4 linked regions of the Coturnix japonica genome follow. The protein of the gene in region 1 interacts with the protein of each later gene in a biochemical or structural test. Links are inferred from orthologs where the notes say so. Each region holds a gene or a part of one and is shown in the gene's direction. Other genes may lie near its edges.

Region 1 (5,330 bases):
TTGCTGCCTTTGTATCACATCCGTTCTCCTCATTCCAGCCTCCTGCCATGACATCCCTTCAATTAATCATCTCCCCTTCCCAAGCTGTAAAGCATGGGTGAATATATCTAGCTGCCTGCCTTAGGAGGCTGATATGTGGATTAATTAATATTTCTGAAATGCCTCGAAAATTGCTGAGTGTTATTGCTACATAACAACTGTTGCTACGTAGGGAAAATCCCTGCAGCCAGATCCAGGCGTGGACACCACACCTATGTTTCCTGCCCTTGCCGAGGTCACAGCCTGGCTTTGCTATCAGCACAGAGCCATAAAAATCCCCATTTTGGCTTCCCCAGCACTTCACTTGCGCTGTTTCTGCAGCTTTTTGGAGTGCCCCATCGGATGTATCCATGTGCCCCATTCCAAAGCATCCCAGGTGGTGTTTTTGGTGGGCAGCTTGTCTTCCCTGGGCAACCAACCATACCCAAAGCAGGGCCAACACCCAGCCACACAGAGCTGTTTGTCTCCCATGGCAGAAATAGGGAGCAAGGGCGGGTCTGCCGTGCTTGGCAGGCCTGGATGCCACACCTCAGCATTCGAGTGACTCACAGGGCGCTCAACCAAGAGGCAGTTGAAATTCTCCTCCCCTTTTCTTGCAACCAGGCAACAAGCTTTTTAAAAAAACAGCGTGCTTTCTCCTAGCTTCCCTGCTGGGAATGTCTCATTTTCCGTGGCTGAGAGCCTTGCTGTAGTGGGAGTCAATTTGGTCATTGCACAGGGGAAGGGAGGTGAGTTTGGGTTCCATCAGTGGACTTTGTGGTCCATCATCAAGCCTCGAAGACAATGGATACATGGATTAATTAAGCATGTCCCGACTGGTTTTCTGGTCCTGAGGTCAGCTGGTAATGTACCAGTGCTGTTAAAGTTTTCTTTGACATATCAAAGCTGCTTCCTTCTAGAGGTCCCCAGCTCAGACATTCCCGGGCAATTGCTGGCCCAGGACAAAATAAACAAAGTTCCTAGCAGCTGTCATTTTATTGTCATAGAAGAAGCCAACATGACTTATGGCCATCTATCACCACGCCATTAGAGGCTTCTCCTTCCATGGAGGAACACTGTGTCTCCTTTGGGGCCATGCAAGAACTAACAGAGCCACCAGAGCCCCAGATGGTCAGGGCTAAGCATTTGCTAGGAGGGTGGGCTGCTGGATCATGGTACCAAGTCTGTGCTTTCACAGCCCTCTGATTCATTACAGGCTGCAATAAGCTGCAGTAGCTCGAGTTTGCAGGCATCAGCCTGAGACAGAGTGTTCTCCTTTGGGATATATTCAAGGCAAGGCTTTTTCCTCACCAGTGTCACGGGTACTTCAGGGAGACTAGCAAAAACCAAGGGGCTGCAGGAGGAGTTTTCCAGGGCGAGAGGACAAGGATGCAACAAATGAAGTTCAGAGATGAAAATGACACACAACAGAAGGAGGTACTTTCATCTTACAGGTGGAAGCAGCAGGGTTTGATGTCGGCTGCAATAATTTGGGAACAAGACATGAACTGAACTCCAAAAAGCAAAACAAAAGCCATTGGTAGCATCCAGAAACAGATCTCAAGGAAGAGAGGAGGTCATCGGCCAGCACTGTGTGCCGGTGTGCTCAACCCTTTCAGCAAGGAGCTCAGCTTTGACTCATGGTTGAAAGCATTTCCATGTGTGTGTCTGTGGGCTGACTCACAACTGGGGGATGGATCACGGTGCTCATTTTGTGTTGTGTTGTGCTCACCAGTGACAGTCACTTGGGCCTGAGTCACCACATCACCACCTGATTGGCCTGGATCATCTTAGAGATCTTTTCCAACCTTAATGATTCTACGAGCCCAGGTTTATATATATTGTATATCACACCTAAACCCGCCCCCACCTTAAGCTTCCCACTACAACTCCCAGCACGCCCCGGCCGTTCCCCCGCCCCCCGTCAGCTCCGCCCTCCGCCCTGTTGGTTGCGCGAGTTCTCGGCGGCATCGCGGCCAGTAGTGCGGGTGAGCGGCGGCTGGTGTGGGCGGCGTTGCCCGGCTGTGCTTTGCTCTCCGGCTGAGGAAGGCGGCCGGTCGGTCGCTGCTCGCTCCGTCTCTGCGGTCCCTCCGCCGCTTCAAGGAGCCGCGGGTTCCTCTCCTTCCTGCGGTAAGTCCCGCTCTCGCTGCGCCGCATCCCTCCTCCGCGCGGCTGGAGGGCGCAGCTCGGGGCCTGGCCCCCTTCCCCGCTTTGTGCTCTGGCTTCCATGGCTTGTTATGTTTGGTTTTGTTTGCTTTATTTTATTTTATTTTATTTTATTTTATTTTATTTTATTTTATTTTATTTTTCCCCTTTCCCTCATTAATTCCTTTTTTTCTCTTGTATTTTCCCCCCGTGCCTTTGTGCCGGTTGCTCGGCTTTCCGTGCGGTTTTGTTTCCTCCCCTGTGATGTCTCCGAGGGGATCGCCGTGCCTTTGTGCCGGAGCGGCAGGCAGCCAGCCATCCTCGGGAGGGGGACGGGTGTGTGTGTGGGGGGGGGGGGGGGAGGAGCGGAGATATTAAGAATAATACGCTTTAAAATCACGCTGTTTATGGACTCGGGAGGTTTTATCGAATCGAGGGGTTCGTGGTGATCCCTATTTCCCCGAGGGGAGGAAAGTGTGCGTGGAACTGGAGGCTGCGATGAGGCCCAGCACACAAAGGGCGCTGGGTGCGCTGCCTCCCGGCCCGGCGCTGCCCCCACCGCGCTGCGGGCTCCGTTGTTGAGCTGCCGAGATGAAAGCTTGCTATGGGAGCCTTCACGCCTGCCCTCCTCCCCCGTCGGCTCTTTGTGAGCAGCGCAACTTTCACCGCGTCGTTGAGCAATGCGGTTTCGGACAGAGCTAACTAAGAGCCGGGAGGTCGCGTGCTGCCTCCGGGCTGCATTGAAAAGGCAGTTGTTGTGTTTTCTACCCGACGCTTGTTTGTTCGTCGTGTTTTTGCTCCCTCTCCTCAAAAGCTGCTGTTGTCTGAGCTCTGCAAAACGCTGTTTCGTAGTTGGGCTGTAGCGCTCTCGTTTCTGGCTGTGCCTTTTAAAGGCCGCTCGTTTGTTTTCGTTGGGACTCCCGAGCCTTCGGAACGTGCTCGTCGCCGTGTAGAGTGGCTGGAATCATCGAGCCTCGGTTCCACATCCCGGGAGCGATGGCTTTATTTGTTCCATTTGAAATCTGCACGGGGGGAGGCCGTGGGGACAGAGGGCTGTTTCCAGTTTCTGTTGGGCAGCGTTTCATATTGCACAAAGAAGCAGCTCGATGACCTGTTGATGATGCATCTTTCATCGCTCTTTATGCTGAGAAGCGAAGCTGTGTTAGTGGAGGTGAGGGCTTTCCCGGATAGGTCGGCCGGGTTTTCATTCGCATGAGTGTTGCGGTCTGTGTGGCTTTATGTCTTAGGCCAGCAGTTTCAAAGCGAGTAGCATGGTGGCAAAGTTCACGAGTCTACACCGGACATCCCCTCCTGCTTTCCCCTACACCCCGCAGGAAAAGCCTGGGTGGTAGGAAACCGAGGCAGCCAGCTGGGAAGTCAGGCTCTTTTTGTGCCCTTTTCGTGCCACATAAGGGAAGTATCCTAACCGCTTCTGAAGTTCTTACCTATTTGTTGTGAATGGCCGGGCCGGGAGCTAAGGAACTGCTCTTTGTTATGGTTAGGCATCTGCAGCGTGCCTTAAGTTCACATGCCTTCAACTACCAGTATTTCAATTAAAACAAAGCTTAAATATTTGTGTCAGTGCAAAATCTGTGTTATAACCGTTGTGTGTTTTGGCGTTGGTTTATGCTAAGTAAAGAAAAGAGCGTTATTTCATTTTGGGATTTACGGCTGTAAATTTAGTGACTGTGTGGTTGTAGGTGCAAAGCAGAGCATCATCTGCTTGCAGCCAGTGATACTTAAACTCTTATTCATTTGTAAGGATATATTAAGGATAGGATATATATATATAAGAATATATTACAAGTATAATGTTGTATGTAATATCTTCTTAGACAGGATCTATGAAATACAGGAAAACAGGGAACCTGCAACTGTTTGTAGATCCTGATCCATGTTGTGAGCGAAAGAAAGAAGAAAATGGGTATTTCATGAGAGATGAAGTCATCTTTAAGGGCGTACTTGTAAGCTAAGTTGGGCAGTTGGTTTGGAGCTCTTGAAGGATGCTAATAATTGAAAGTACTTGTTGTAAGTCTGGTCACTGCGCATCTTGCTGATTAGGGCATAGAAGTTTTGACTGTAGGTGGCATTAAAAGGAAGTCCTCAGCTCTTTTGCTTCCAGACATTCATTCCTTAATCTTCAGATTCACAAGTGTGCTGACAAACTGTCAGAGGAAGTGACAGCAAAGAGATGGCGTAGGAAGTAGGTCAAGCTCTGCTGAATACTGCTGAGATAGTTTCAGTGGAAAAAAAATAAGCATGTCTACATCTGATCTAGTTTCTGTTTCCTTTCAATCTGCGGGTTACGAGAGTGGCCGGTATATCTTACCCTCCTACAGTGGTTTCCAGGTCCTACTGAAGAGAACATTGTCTCCCTAATGAGGTGCAGTTAGGCTGCCTGGATGGAAGGCCTTGTGGTGAGGAAGGCGAAACAGCAGTTTAGTTCTGGCTTTGTGCAGTGCTGGGTGCCAACAAATTGCCAGCTGGGCAAAGCTAAAGTGGTCTTTTGTTTTCCTGGAGACCTGGGGCAGTTTGTGGGGTGGATTTCCATTTGGGCTCCTTCACTCTGTGCTGCTGAGGTTCTGAGGTGGCAGTCTGGAGCAATAGGGAAGCATTATGGAGTGTTCTTTGTGGCCGTACTGTTTGCCAGTGGATGTTACAATTGTCGCAAGTACTTATAGTATTTCTTGTTCATGATGTTGTTTGAATGCCCCGTTACTGCTGACAATGTGATCTGCAGGAAAAATACCATTTTGCACTATGAGTGTGTTGGCCCAGGTAAGTGCATGATTTATTGGCTGCCTATGTCAGCCCTCTGTCACAACCTTCTTCTGCTGACCCTTGTCGTGCCACTTGGAGCCACAAATGTGCTTAAATATTGAAGTGACCTTTCTGCAACAACCTTGTAGTCATGAGTGAGTGTGGAAAGTATAGTAGTGTCTGCTTTGGCAAGCTGCTGAAGCTGTCTTTAGGTGTCTCTAAGGACAGTTCTGTTGATCTTATTTTTTGGTGCCCCATGGTGGATGTAGGTGGTCGTCTAGTTTCAGTAAAGGCCGTGTGGTGTTTCTAAATGATGTGAGCTCAAGTGTGAGGTAGTCAGCAGTTTGTTTGATTCAGACTGGTTGGAAGCATTTGGTTAAAGATTAATGGTATCCTCAGGTCCTTGC
Region 2 (4,553 bases), on another chromosome or scaffold:
TTCTGTGAAACTCAGTTCACTATGATAGCGGAGAGCTAGGAAGAAACACTGTGAAGTGCTATTCTGCTACCACTTAGATTGCACTTAGTATTCCTGTGCAAACAAACTTAGTTACTGTATTATAAAGTGAAGTGTTATGTACACTTGAGCTTCCAGATGAATCTAATTAAATGTAGCGAGTTAAAAATTAAATTGAAAGGTTTTTTTCTTGTGGTTTTTATTTGGATCTTTTTCAGTGGATAACCGTCCTCTGGGGAAGGTAACAGATAATTAGATTAACGTATTAAAGGAAATTACACGCTTCTTTTTGGAGATTGAGTCCACGTCCATGGGCTTCTTTTGTGGGTGCCCGTATTGGAGGTGGTGGGAAGGGGGAATGGGTGCAACATACCTATAAATACATATATATAAATACATATACATTCTTAAAGCAGGTTGAGCTTCCTGAGGTGGTGCTGTGTTGTCCCATGTAACAACAGCTGTGTGTCTCCAGTGGAACTTACTGCTTATACCACTTATGGCAGCTGGAATGGATTTCAGGATCAGCACGTCTTCAGCTGGCCTGGTCTTCAGACGACTTTACAGTGTGGAAGCTGAGTTTCTGATTCTGCCTCAGTATTTAGTACTGGTCCTGCTTAAGTTTAATCATCTTTATGTGCTGTGGCCTTAAAACACAACTTCTTGATTTGTTTTCCCTTTTCTGCTCCTTTTCATAGAATCGTAGAATAGTTTGGGTTGGAAGGGACCATTAAGATCATGTAGTTCCAACCCCCTGCTATGGGTGGGGACACCTCCCTCTAGACCAGGTTGCTCAGAGCCCCATCCAGCCTGGCCTTGAATCCTTACAGGGAGGGGGCATCCACGGCCTTGCTGGGCAACTGCTCCAGCATCTCACCACCCTCACAGTTCATAGATGTCCAGCCCAGGTTCTGAGGAGCCCAACAGGCAATGTAACATTATACGATTTTTTTGGTTCTCATCCCTTCTGTTATTTTATAGAAGGATAACAGTGTCTGTGTAACGTAGGGTATAAAGGTCTGTCAGAACATAATGACGTTCCTGCAGTGATAAAGCCCTCAGTATGATGCTGTACCTTATCAAAAGAATCATTTTTTCTTGTATGTGGGTTCACCCATTGTTTGCTGACAAATGGCTTTTAGTGGCAGTATGTGCAGCTCCCAGCCTGACACCGCTCCCTTGGATGCACTGGCAGGTAGAAATGCTGATGCTGCTGCCATGGAACTGCTGATTCTGGGTTGTTTCAAGCTAGGATTGGCTCTGTGGTATGGGTACAGTCAGCACACTGGTGTGACTAGGGAGGCAGTGTGGGGGTCAGCAGGACAGAGCTGGGGCTGGGGACGCAACATAAATCTTGTATGTGTTGCAAGTTCATTTGTATCCTTTGAAATATATTTGCAAGGGTGAGTGTTGGAAGCTTAGAGCACCTTGGATGTCCTTACAGTGTGGTACATAAGTGGTACTGGCAGCTGTTGCCTGTGCGGATAAGTCCAGCAAGAAGTTGGATCACATCAGTTTATTGCCGTGTGTTTATGTAGATAATAACATCAATATTATGAGCTGTAGGAACTTGATACATTTGATACAAATGTTTGGATTGTAGTGTTAATTACTGGGGTTTCAGTGCTTCAGGTATTTCATTTGCTGTTGCTGAAGTGAGATATTAACCATGTCATGACAGTCACTTCAGTGCTGCCTGAGTTATTCTAACAAAATACGTGTATTGTAACAGTCTGGGTTATATTTGAAGGACTTTAAGCCACGTACAATTATTGTGCTTATGTTACGGCTATTGTAGACACACTGAGTAAATACACCATAAAACTAGGGCAATAAATTAATATGACACCCACAGGTTACCACTTGCTAAGGCAGAAATAGAAATTCTCTTTGTGTAAGTCAACAGGGGAAGGCGGTAATAAAATTAACTGCACGCAGTGAAAACAAGCTGGAGGAAAAGCAGGAAACAGGGCTAAAATTACCTGAGGAAATGGGGTCTCTGCAGAACTCCTTGTCCCTGCCTGATGTCCTCTTGCCACATCGGCCTCTTTTTGGGGTGCAATGGTGCCTGCGGGACTTGTGAGGGCTGGCAGTAGTGGAGAAAGAAGTGGGTACAGAGCTCGGTCTGCTCAGCACGTTAGTGGGATGGGTGGCCAGAACGCAGGCAGCTCCTCACTGTGGCCACTTTGGGGAGCGTGGCACAGAGTTACTGCTGGAGGCAGAGCAACAAAGAACACAAATCTAGGTAGGAAAGCAGGCTTCCCTGATTCTAACGTGTACAGAACAGCTTGTTGTCTCCTACTGATTGTTAGAGGAGCTTTAAGTGTGCTTATTACATAGGCTGAATGTGCTTGAGCAAAGGTGGTTCACACATACAGATGTTTTAGGTATTTATACATATAGCAACGTCTTTAATACTGGGGTTGAGTAGTACTTTCAGTTCTTCAGAGCTGATTCTGATTCCAAGGCAGACATTCATTTTAAAATCAATGTGCTCACGTTAGAGTAAATCTTGAATGCTTTCTGTGAGTGGTTGGTCATTTTGTTTGTCACTGTTAGGCTTCTCTTTAAGGCAGAATGGGAAATGCTTCTGCTGTTATCACTGATGTTCTTTAGATTGCTTCTGCTTATACTGAAGAAGCTGGTTTGGCAGTAGTTGAATCAGAAGTAAAGCTGTCCTTAAATCTCTGGATTGGTGGCCATTACCTTGTGCTGAGGAGGAGGCACAAGTTGTTGTAGCAGCTGAGAGATTTGGAAGGAGATCTCTACCAGTTTACCACATTGTGTTCTTTGACTTTGATGCTCACTTCATAGTTTCAGTGGGTGTAGTTAATTCATAATGAAGACTTGTCTTTAAAATAGTTCATACAGTGTGCTTACGTTAAACAGTTTGTATTTATTCCATTGCCTCTCCTTCTCCTTCTAGGAAACCCAGCGCTTGCTGGCAGAGCCAGTCCCTGGGATAAAAGCAGAACCAGATGAAAGCAACGCACGTTATTTTCACGTGGTCATTGCAGGTCCACAGGATTCCCCCTTTGAGGGTGGGACATTTAAACTTGAACTCTTCCTTCCAGAAGAATATCCAATGGCAGCTCCTAAAGTACGTTTCATGACCAAAATCTATCACCCTAATGTAGACAAGCTGGGAAGAATATGTTTAGATATTTTGAAAGGTAAGTGCAACCTTATTTTCTTCTTATCACATACAGAAACTCGGAGATTCTCTCTAAAAAGAGATTTGTTTATATGGATATCTTTACCCTTTAATGTGGGAGCGGAAAACTTGTTATTTCAGTAGACTGCAAATGTGGTATTTCATACTGCTATAAATGTCTCTTTAGATAAATGGTCCCCAGCTTTGCAGATTCGTACAGTTCTGCTATCAATCCAGGCTTTGTTAAGCGCTCCCAATCCAGATGATCCACTAGCAAACGATGTAGCTGAGCAATGGAAGACCAATGAAGCCCAAGCCATAGAAACAGGTGATGTATCTGATGCTTTTCTTCCAGCTTTTAGGAAATACGGTGAGCCGATGGCTAATTGGTTGGGGAATTGAAATCCCAGCCTTCTATTTTGTGCCTGCAGTTTGCAGAAGTAATTAATTACTGCTTGCGGTTGTTGTCCAGGTTTCCTGCATATGCCTGCAGTGGTCTACTTAAGTGTGTAAATGCAGCCGCCTAGGAGGAAACTTAGTGGTTTTCTCTTGAGCTTTTACGTACCTAAATTGCAAGGGTGTCCAGTGTGGGCATATGATAAAATAGATGTTCACACCTGTGTTTTACCTGTGATGTTTAAGGAATGGGTTATTTAGCTCCAGAAGGCGTCTCTTCCATACCTGCTTCTGTCTCAGCTGTGGAAAGAATGATTTCATTCTGTCACTTCTGGCCTCGCTGTGCTTGTGCTGCTTCATCAGATCTCTGTTTCTGTCTATTACGTATTGTGTATATTAAGAGGTTAAAGTCACACTTGCCTCACAACTGATACATTTTGTGTCTTTGCAACAGTTTAAAAGTAACATTAAAAAGTCAATTAGCTTGAATAAAGCTTGAAAAATACTTTCCTTTTTTTCTTAAATGTGTTTTTTTTTCTTTGCAGCCAGAGCATGGACTAGGCTATATGCCATGAATAATATTTAAATGTGCTTTGAACATCAAGTGTGCATCACTTCTCCTGTTCTGCCAAGACCTCTTCCTTTTTTTGTTTGCATTTAATGGACACAGTCTTAGAAACATTACAGAATAAAAGCCCAGACATCTTCAGTCTTTTGGTGATTAAATGCACATTAGCGAATCTGTGTCTTGTCCTAATTCACTATTGTAACGCATGAGCAGAGGCTAGAAGTATCATCTGGATTGTTGTGAAATTGTTTAAAAGCAGCAGCACATCTCTGCTTTTAATCCCATCATGGTTTAAGCATAAGCACTGTGAATGAAGGTAGGCAGGGTTAGCTGCGGGGCTTTTCGTTTTAATTTTGTGGGCTCCTCCTCCCTTTTTATGGTGATGCTAATCGCATTGATAAAAGCAGCTAACCAGTT
Region 3 (5,017 bases), on another chromosome or scaffold:
ATTCATATTCTAACAGCTTTGTAGTCCTCAGTTTTCTCTCTCTCCTGTCCTACTCCCTTCCCTTCTGCTCAGCTCCCTGGAGTTGAGTCAAGCAGAATCCCTAGCAGTGTTAATGAATGCTGGCTTGGTTCTGGTCTTTCTGCTGGATTCCAGAACTCCTTCATCTTCTTAAAGCAGTGGGTGCTTCTGTCAAATCCACATAGCGATTCTGAAGCAAAAAGCTACGTGGATCCTTTTCAACAGATGTAAATCTGGCTTAAGATGAATTTGCCTTAAGTTGATTAGGAACAGATTAGAGCTAAAACAGAACCAGCCCCTCTTAAGCTCCAGCGTGGGCCTGGGCTTCATTGTGACTGACACTTGCTGAGGCCACTTAGTTTCCCCCTGTCACTTCTCTAAAAGATGCGGGTGACCCTCTGCTCCCTGGGGCTCCCAGAACGGCAGCAGGAGGTGCAGAACAGCCTCCAGCAGCAGCAGCAAAACGCTGCCTTGATCCCGCCTGGAGCAGTTCTAAAATAGGAGGTTTGGGCTGTCCTGAGGTGCCCATACCTGTTATCCCCTCCCAAACCTGGTGCAGAGGGGAAGGGGGCTGCAACAGTGGGGTTGCACTGAGCACCCACCTTGCCCCAGAACTGCAGCAGTTCCAACGGGAGCTCCTGGCATCTGCACCCCCAGCTCCAGGTCAGCTTTGCCGAGCAGTTGTGCCACCCAGCTTCTGCCCTGCTCGTTTCCCGTGCTGCTCTCGGCTGCCTCTGAAATGCAGCGTTAGGCTTCAGCTGTAGTCTGACCAGCAGCAAGACTGGCATTGCTGTTTTTAAAGCAGCATCAGTGAATAGCTGGTAGAAATGGTGCTGTAGCTGTGCGCTGTGGGGTTGATACAGCAGGATGAGGGTTTGAATGGCAGTCATGAGCCTCTAAATCTTCTAATAATTTCTGTGAGATGTCCATGCGATGTCTCAGGACAATATCTGGGGATATGTAGTGCAAGACAAAGCAGAATTTATTAATTCATTTCCTCCCAGGTTTCTTTGTTTGTTTTTTACTGTACTGGCTAGACAGAGGCAAAGCAAAATGCTGCCGCTGAAGCACAGCCCTCTAGGTCCATCTGCTGTCAGGTCCCATCTGGCAGCGCCTGTTTTCGATTCCATTTCTGCATAGTCCCAACCTTCAGGAGCAAAGCGGGGACACCCGTGTGTGCTGTGTCTTTCCTGCTGCAGACGGGCGGGCATTGCGTGCTGCTGGCTGCTTCCTTCGGCTGCGCTCACTGTGGGTCTGCACAGAACACACAGCACGGATTGCTGCCAGTGCTTCACGGCAACGAGAGAATGGCAGCAAAGGAAAGGAAATGTTGCACCACTCTGGTACTTTCCTTAGCTGAAGACGTTTGGGAAGCAAATACATAAACAACACCAGATTATTACCAAGTGACTGGGTAATTTAAGAGCATTAGGAGTTAAATGCTGCCTGCGTTCCGACCATAATGAACGTGGTTTGGCCATTATTAATTGCACTGGAGTTTTATAGGACGTTAAATGTTTGAAAGCATGCCCGTGTTTCAGGCTTCCCTGGAGGATCCAGGGCTCTGCTGTCCCGGACACGAGCCGGCTGCCGCCCTCGGGGGGCACGAACAGCTCGAGCCCCCCCAGCCCAACAGAGAACGCCGCTAACCTCGATTGTGCCCGCCCGCGCGGCGAAGTTCGGGCGACTTCCGGCGTGCACCACAGAGCTCTCCTCTTTCTCGCCTCGTCTTTAGCGCGCCCGCCCGCCCCGCGAGGCCTCACTTCCCGCGTTGCGCTGACGCGGCGTTGGGGGGCGGGTCCGGCGGCAGCGGCGCAAGATGGCGGCCACCACGGGTGCGGGTGAGCGGGCGGCGGGGCCGGGCTGGGCCGGGGGCGCTGGGAGGGGCCGCCCCTCTCCGCGGGGCAGCGGGCGGCGGGGCCGGGCCGGGAGGCGGCGACAGAGCGGCCAGGGCTGCGGAGAAGGGAACGGAGCGAGGGGGCGGCGGCGGGGACTGGGCCGAGGGGCGCGGCGCGGTGCCCGGCCGGGGGGCGGGTGGGCTGGGTGGGCCGAGGGCCGAGGGCCGAGGGATGCGGCTGGGCGGGACTCGGGCACGGGAGCCGCGGAACGACCCGGGCGGAGGCACCGCCGAGCACAGGCCGCTCCCGGCCGCCCCCAGCCCGCAGTGAGTCCCGGCCCCGCCGCAGTGCTACGGGCTGCGGGCGGAACGCGGCGCTGGGCGGCGGCTGCCGGGGAGCACAGGCCCGAGGAGCCGCTTCCGAAGGGCTCAGGAAGTTGAACGGCGATTTCCTGCCTCGTTCTGCACCTGCTATGAATGGTTGAACGGCCCCCTATGGCTATCGTTCACGTTACACTACATAGCAGTAACCAGACCTCAGTGTATCTTTTCCTGCTGATCCCTTCTGGCTGACCTGTGCAGACCAAATAATGTGGTTTCATTCCTGTTTGCCAGTCTCACCTACCTGCTCTTGTAACCAGTGTCCAGTGTGCCCTGACAGCGCCGTGCTCAGATCGCATCCTCTGGTGATAAATGTGGGAACATCCAAGGGCTGCACTGGAGGTACAGCAGAAATATCTAGAGGTACCTTCCTTACAGATAGGTTCCTGCTGGTGGCTTTCCGGCCTTCAAGAATAAATGTCACAGTGCAGTTAATTAATTAATGCAGTTAATAAGTAGTTATCAAGTTCATAAGAAGGTTCTCTGCTTGGAAGCAGGTGGCTGTGAGCTGTGGAGCACCTGGGTAAAGCCTATGGACAGAGCACATTTCCACTACCACATTATCTCACTTCTCTGCTCCTGTAATCCTGTCGGTCTGCTCACTTTATTTTGTATGTGTCTGGAAGAGCAAGGCCAGTGACTGCTGCTTTTAAGCCAGTGCAGCTTCATGAGTTATTGTCTGTGTGGTCCAGGAGAGGGGCAGGAAGATGGAGATCCAAACTGCAGTGACTGAGTCTGGGGCCAGTCCTGCACAGCTCCTTTGTGCTGTTGGGATGAGCTGTGTGTCAGTAGCCATTGTCCATCAGCCACGCTGTGCCTTTGGATGGCTGCATTACCTCATATTCTCCTGAACCGTCCCTGGCCTTCAGTGTTGGAAGCAGTGCAGAGTCAGGGAGATGGCAGGCAGGTGCTCAGCTCCTTGCCTCTAAAACATGAGCATCAGACAAGCACTGCACTTAGCTGCTCTTGAGGTCCTGTTTGTTTTAGTGCTGCTGGCAAGAGGAAATAGTGCAAAACAGTATGTGTCAAAAAAAGCCATGCTGCTGAAACAGAACTTCTGCAGTAAGCCCCATGGTTGGGACTGAGGAACTTTTGCATACAGACCAGTGGTTTGCGCTGATGGGAGCGTTGTCCAGCCGTGAATCCCAGACTGCTGTACCTACCACCAACCTGTTCTGTCTGGGTGCACCAGTAAAGTATGGCTGGAGATTGTCCTTTTTGAAACAGAGAGCAATATAGTGTTCCTGACAGCACCAGTAGAATCTGGGGTTTCCTGTATAAAGAAACCTACAGCAATTCTTTTAAGATCTCCTGGCGAGTTGTCTTAGTTTCAGCTGGAACAGAATTGTTCCCTTCAGAATGTTGGGTATGATGCCATGTTTTGGTTCGAGGAGAAGAAAAACATTGATAGCACAGTGATGTTGATAATTGCTGCTAAGCAGTGCTGTGCAGAGCCAAGGCTCCAAGGAGCTGGGAGGGAACAGAATCAGGACAGCTGACTTACACCTGCCAAAGGGATATTCCATACCATACAACATCAAGCAGAAGGAGTTTAGAAGGGGCTGGGAGTTCATCACGCTCTCTTCTGCTGCTTGTCTTTTTCTCAGTAAATAGTTTTATCTTAACCCACAAGTTCTACTACATTTTCTCCTAATTTTCTCCCCCATCCTACTGGGGTGGAGGGAGGTGCTTAGCTGTCTGCTAAACTCCAACACTAGTGAAGAGCATTTTCAGTGCCCTTTGCTAAGCTGTTCTCTATGAAATATTTGTGCTTTAATCCTCAAGATTTCATTGTAGAAAGGAAAGAGATTCACTGACATTTTTTGTGGGGCCTTTATTTCTTCCTGCTCGTGCTGAGGAGGAGCATTCAGGAGCATCCACTCTCAGGAGTATTGCCCACTTCATTTCACTGCTCTCACTGTGCTGTTTGCACTGTGGCACTGTACGGTTATTCAGTTGTACAATCAATAGGTAAACAGAGGTTTAAACAGATGTTTCGTTAAGAAAGATTATCGTGATGGAAAGATAATCTATAATAAATGGAAATGCTCACCAATATTGAAGGCTTGCAGTAAACTCCACAAAGGAGCAATCTCCAGAGAAGGAGATCCTTCCTTAGTGGCAGTCAGCCCTTAAATGGGATCTAGGAGAGATGCAGCCAGGCTCCACAGGGACAAAAGGCGAATCTCAGAGTGCTTTAAGGGCGTTACAAACTCCAGCTGCATTTAACTATCTTCCAGGAATAATTCTGTTTCCCTGGTGCAGAACTGCAGTGTGTTCTGGCGGCCATAGGCTCCTGGTCCCAGTGTGACTGAGCTGGCCCAGCCTGTGGCTCACAGTCCAGCCAACAGCTCTGGTTCCTAACACTCATTGGTGCCATCCACGCCGCAGCACTGGAAGTTTTGGAAACAAAGGCTGAAGAGAATGTCACCTAGAACCCAGCAGCTCCTTAACTGCAACTTTAAGTTCAGCAAAATTCATGTCTTGACTTTCTGCAAAACTTCCCCTGTTATTCAGTGTTATTCTGAGATTTCCTGTAAAAATATTTAATGAACTGGTTACTGAATTACTGTCTGGATTTGAGGCTTCCTGTATGCAAATTTACTAAACATGAACTTCTTAGACACTGTCCAAACCTGTGTGGTTTGAATGTTTTCCTTACTAGTGCAGTTATGTGGCTCGGCTTTCATAGGTTTGTTCTTCTGAATGATAGTAAATATTCTCTTTTGCTCTGTAATGCTTCTCCTGTTGTGTTTCTGGGAGCATTTCTGCAAGATCAAG
Region 4 (5,140 bases), on another chromosome or scaffold:
CTGAAGGGTGAAAGCTGAAACAATCATCCCAGAATTATTAGAAACTTGCATTTCTAAATCACACAGGTGCTTTGCCATGGCAGGTTGCAGGTTCTTCCTTTCAAACCATAACAGCATGACAACCACAGAGGAAGTGTTCTGTCTCCTCTCCCACTCCACAAAACTAAGAGAATTGGGACATTTCCAGTATTGAAAGAAAAGGGTAAAGACACAGTAAACAAAAGTGAGAACAATCAAAACCCCTGCTGGCCTCTGGAGCAGCACCTGATCAAATGCAATGCAGTTCCAGTAACCTGACTTAGTGCTAGCAATGTTCCGTGGATCAGAAACCAACGCCTTTACGAAATGAGATCATAAATCAAATCTGAACTCACTATAAGCTGCCCAACATCAGAATACGCTTCTTAAATCCATATACTGGACCATACTGACCATTCTAAAATGATTCTGATGGTCAGTATTACTGCAGATATACCACAATACCCAATATTCCCACTAAAAATGTAATGTTTACCTGTATAAATATCTTGTTTTACCTGGAAACCATCAGCAGGCCTCTTTCTGGAGCAATTTTTCCCTCTAAACCTTACCATGATTGACATATTTGGCTTCTGCGTGACGTCTGCCACAGTAAAAGACTTTGTTTCTAAAATTTTACCAAATTTTTTATTGATGAAGTGGTGAACTACTTTTCTGTGCTCCTTATTTCCATCGGGCTCAAAAGAAAAAGTGGAATTTTCAAGCTTGGCATCCAAAAACTTAAAGAAATCGCTCGTTTCCTTTTCAGTCACGAGCTGACACAGTTCTCTGTAGTCAGCGTTTCCTTTCACAACCATCTCGTTGCCCTTTGTCACAGTGACCAAAAAGGGGAATCTCTGCCTGATGGCACCGTGCAAATCGGCCCGATCTCCCTTGTCCACCACGGCTCCCAGAGAGAACTCCCCGGCTCCGCCATCACAACCCCCTTCCGTGTCCCAGGCCTCCTTCAGATCACAAGCGAATTTAGTCAGCCTCTCACTCGCGGCCTTGCCCAAAAGGGAATCCAACACATCGGCTGCCTCCGGGCCGGATTTCAGAGCACAGCGGCTCTGCTCATGGTGTGTCACCGTGCTCCCAGCCCCGGCTCTGGCTGTGGCGGAGGCAGCGGGCGGTTCCCCCGGCGGTGCGTTGGACTGCGTTGGGTTGCGGGGCCGGGGTGCCGCGGGGCGCTGAGGCAGCTCCAGTTCCTTCACCACGAAGTCAGCGGGCGTCTTCTTGATCGTCCCGCGGAAGCCGATGTGATCGGTCACGTAACTGAGGGAGAGCAACATGGCTCCCCTGCCCGATGCTGCCAGAGGAGAAAAAAAATAATAAATTAATAACAATACTAATAAAGATCATTAAAAAAGGGGGAAAACAGAAAATGGAGGGACAACCATCTCCCTACCGCGACCACCAGGGGGCGCCGCTTGTACCCAGCCCCCGGCCATCAGAGAGGGGGCACGGCCGTACCGAGCTCCCCCAGCCCCGCCTGCCGGCTGTGGAGCGCTGCGGGACGGCGCAGGAAGCGGGAGGGGGCGCTGGTAGTGCGGGCGGAGGTGGCGTCACGGCCTCGGAACGGGGAGGTGCTGAGGGGCTGTCCGGGTAAAGTGGCGAGAGCTGGTGGCTTTGAGGTTCCTGGCCGCCCCGCCATGAGCCAGCCGGTCACCACCGCCACCTACGTCCGCAGCCTGCGCTACGGGCTGCTGAGGCAGCTGGCCGACCTCCTCGACCCGCAGGAGGGATGGAAGCGGCTGGCCGCGGCCATCACCGACCCGGCAGGCGAGAGCAGATACAGCCAGGCGCACATCAGGTCTGGTGTGGCCGTCGGGTGATGTAACCGCGTGCACTGATGTTGGATTGGCATCAATGTGCCCTCCGTGTGTGTGTGTGTGTCCAGCACTGCTCAGAACGTATCTCACATAGTGCTTCCTGAGGGAACCCAAACTAGTTCCTCTCCAGTTTGCTTTTGAGACAAGTGACACTTCTCCTGCTAGTCTGAGAGGGCTGGGGCTGTTCAGCCTGGAAAGGAGAAGGCTGTGGGGAGAGCTGAGAGCGGCCTGTCAGTGTCTGAAGGGGCTGTGAGAAAGGAGGGGACTGATTCTTCAGCAGGGTCTGTGGTGATAGGACAAGAGGAAATGGATTCATGCTTAAAGAGGGGAGATTTAGGTTGGATATAAGGAAGAAGTCTTTTGCAGTAACTGTTTACAGGGGCTGGAACAGGGGCCCGGAGATATGGTGGATGCCCCATCCTTGGAGACATTTAGTGTGAGCAGCCTGATATGGCTGTGGGTGTCCCTGTTCAGGGCAGGGCAGTTGGAATGGATGGCCTGTAAGGGTCCATTCCAACTCAAATGGTTCTGTGAGAGCTACAGAGAACTGATTGAATCAGAATAAGCCCTACAGACTGTTTGCCATGGACAAACGTAGAACGTGTCCTTTTACCCAAGTTTGCATTTCTTTGGTGTCATTTTGTGTACAGGGGGTTGTATGTGTGTTTTCATAAGGCCTGTATGGTTTTAAGTTGAAAGAGGGAAGATTTAGGTTGTATGTTAGGGGGAAGTTCTTCACTAGGAGAGCGGCTAGGCCCTGGAACAGGCTGCCCTGGGAGGTTGTGGATGCCCCGTCCTTGGAGGTGTTCAAGACCAGGTTGGACGGGACCCTGGGCAACCTGATCTAGTAAATGTGTATGTTTGGTGGCCCTGCCAGGCAGGGGGGTTGGAACTACATGATCCTTGAGGTCCCTTCCAACCCGGGTCATTCTGTGATTCTGTATTTAGCAGTACTTCTGTTGTACTGCTGAAGTACAATTCATTATATAGTGATTTTGGGTTTATTTTTATTTACCATTAATCACGCTCCTTTTTTTGTTACTTTTCTTTTCAAAGTTAGCTTTAATTTTTCTTTTTAAGGAGATTTGAAGCATTTGTGCAAATGGGAAAGAGTCCCACATGTGAGTTGCTTTATGATTGGGGAACAACAAATTGTACAGTCGGTGACCTTGTGGATCTGCTGATTAGGAACCAGTTTCTAGCACCAGCAAGTCTTTTGCTTCCAGGTAACTGTTATCCATGTATATTCTGTGCTGTGCTCCCTTGTCTGTATGATGCCAGTGACCTTCACAGTAGTTGGACGGTCAGAAAGGATTAGGTGAAAATAACCAAAAGAGGATACATTTTCCATCATTTACAATAGGAGTTTTATGGAAGTGGGCTACAGTTTTCCAAGTTTAAATGAAAGTCCTGCAATTTTCATGTGGTGCAAGATTATAACCTTAGTAAATACTGACGTAATGCTATTTATGTTTTCTGTTTCCTAATACGGTTAACGCTTTTTCTAAATTCCATTTTCAGAAGCTGTCGGGATGGCACAAGAAGTTACATTACCTCTTTCTTCACAGGAAACTTTGCCTATACATGAAAAACAACAGCCTATACAGGAAAAAGAAGTGACATCTGTAAAGCCTGTGTTGTCTCAGAATACAGAGGAGCAACCTTCAGCCCCTCCATGTTTAAGTCAAGAGAACAGCAGCGCACAGCCTAGTAACACAGGTAGGTGCTTAGTTTGTTAAAATGAGTTAGTGTTTTTTGCTGATCTGTCCTTCACCTGTGTGAAATAAGTCCTAGGAACGCACTGGAATGCACAGTAATGACTGCATTTGCGTCTTCGTGCTTTTTGTTCTTGTATTGTGAGACTGAACGCAACCTGTGCAAATAAGACATCAAAAAATGAGAAATAACGTAGTCACACTAGTGCCACGGTGTGAAGTTTAGCAAGGGCAAGTGTAGAGTCCTGCACCTGGGGAGGAATAACCACATGCATCAGTACAGGTCAGGGGCTGCCTGGCTGGAAAGCAGCTCTGCGGAGAAGGACCAACAATTTCTGGTGGACAGCAGGTTGGCCATGAGCCAGCAGTGTGTTCTTGTGGCTAAGAAGGCCAATGGTATGTTGGGGCATGTTACAAAGAGTGTAGCCAGCAGGTCAGGGGAAATGATCCCCTCTACTCTGCCCTGGTAATGCTGCATCTGGAACACTGTGTCCGGTTCTGGGCTCCCTGGTTCGTGAAAGACAGGGAACTTCTAGAGATGGTCTAGCAAAGGGCCACAAAGATGATGAGAGACCTGAAGCATCTGACTTATGAGGAAAGGTTGAGTCACCTGTTCAGCCTGGAGAAGAGAAGTCTAAGAAGAATCTTAACAGGCAGAGAAGGGGCAGCGGACGCAAACAGGAACACATGAAGTTCCATCTGAACTTGAGGAAAAACCGGGGAGAGGTTGTGGAGTCTCCTTCTCAGGAGGTGTTCACAGCCCATCTGGATGCTCTCCTATGCAGCTTACTGTAGTGAACGTGCTTTAGCAGAGGGGTTGAACAAGATGATCTGCAGAGGTCCTTTCTATAGTACTCTATCCCCTCTATACTACTAGGACTCTGTGACATTGTAATGTTTGTTCTATGTGTAATTCTATTGCCTTCTTTCAATACTGCTTTTGTAGACTGTTTAGCACCTTGTGCTTTGCATTCGGATCTTAGTTATCAGAAATAACTAAGAAGTATGGGAAAAAGGTGACTAAAGAAAGTATTCTGATATAGATTAGAATTCGAGGATCTATTTAATATGCTTGTTATTTGAGTAGAAATGTGGTTCTGTGCTAAATGTCAATTGTGTCTTCTAGATTTCCACAATTTTTGGTTTCACGACTTGGAAAATGTTACAAATAATTTTGATGAACGACCAGAATCGGCTGGAGGAAATAAGCTGGGGGAAGGTGGCTTTGGCGTTGTGTTCAAAGGCTACATCAACGGCAGAAATGTGGCTGTCAAGAAACTTGCTGCTGTGAGTTGTCCTCAACATTTTTCCAATTAATAACTTTGTTCTTTATAGTGTCTTTGGTTGTCTATGAAGAGTTGAGTAGTACATCTCCAGAAAGTATCACCATGTTAAATATGAGATGGGTTCAGAACATTATCCTGCTGTCCTGTGGGTGGTGTGAGCTGTTACAGTGGCCAGAGGTGAAACTTTGTGTTTCCATAGTTCTTGCAGTGGCTCACACAGTCCTTGGGGGGAGCAGGATGCTCCCTTTGTTCCCCTCTTCCCCCTGCACACAAGAAGGGCAGAAGAGGT

Evidence for each region.
Region 2: the proteins of PELI1 (region 1) and UBE2N form a complex in vitro, tested with the Homo sapiens proteins (2 studies listed by BioGRID). The link is inferred for Coturnix japonica from reciprocal best matches to the Homo sapiens genes PELI1 and UBE2N.
Region 3: the proteins of PELI1 (region 1) and ubiquitin-conjugating enzyme E2 variant 1 form a complex in vitro, tested with the Homo sapiens proteins (3 studies listed by BioGRID). The link is inferred for Coturnix japonica from reciprocal best matches to the Homo sapiens genes PELI1 and UBE2V1.
Region 4: of the proteins of PELI1 (region 1) and IRAK4, one has a biochemical effect on the other in vitro, tested with the Homo sapiens proteins (4 studies listed by BioGRID and IntAct). The link is inferred for Coturnix japonica from reciprocal best matches to the Homo sapiens genes PELI1 and IRAK4.

Annotation. Positions count from the first base shown.
Region 1 is NC_029518.1:1,823,367-1,828,696, forward strand, and holds the start of PELI1 (E3 ubiquitin-protein ligase pellino homolog 1), read left to right. Parts: upstream 1-1,938; 5' UTR 1,939-2,148; intron 2,149-5,330. UniProt on the Homo sapiens protein: E3 ubiquitin ligase catalyzing the covalent attachment of ubiquitin moieties onto substrate proteins. Involved in the TLR and IL-1 signaling pathways via interaction with the complex containing IRAK kinases and TRAF6.
Region 2 is NC_029516.1:40,853,814-40,858,366, reverse strand, and holds part of UBE2N (ubiquitin-conjugating enzyme E2 N), read left to right. Parts: intron 1-2,944; coding exon 2,945-3,191; intron 3,192-3,359; coding exon 3,360-3,500; intron 3,501-4,113; coding exon 4,114-4,154; 3' UTR 4,155-4,553. UniProt on the Homo sapiens protein: The UBE2V1-UBE2N and UBE2V2-UBE2N heterodimers catalyze the synthesis of non-canonical 'Lys-63'-linked polyubiquitin chains. This type of polyubiquitination does not lead to protein degradation by the proteasome.
Region 3 is NC_029535.1:12,296,129-12,301,145, forward strand, and holds the start of ubiquitin-conjugating enzyme E2 variant 1, read left to right. Parts: upstream 1-1,727; 5' UTR 1,728-1,837; coding exon 1,838-1,859; intron 1,860-5,017. UniProt on the Homo sapiens protein: Has no ubiquitin ligase activity on its own. The UBE2V1-UBE2N heterodimer catalyzes the synthesis of non-canonical poly-ubiquitin chains that are linked through Lys-63.
Region 4 is NC_029516.1:27,244,735-27,249,874, forward strand, and holds the start of IRAK4 (interleukin-1 receptor-associated kinase 4), read left to right. Parts: upstream 1-1,670; coding exon 1,671-1,831; intron 1,832-2,930; coding exon 2,931-3,076; intron 3,077-3,371; coding exon 3,372-3,569; intron 3,570-4,691; coding exon 4,692-4,852; intron 4,853-5,140. Other genes in the region: PUS7L (pseudouridylate synthase 7 homolog-like protein), read right to left, coding at 1-14, 515-1,327, 1,492-1,672.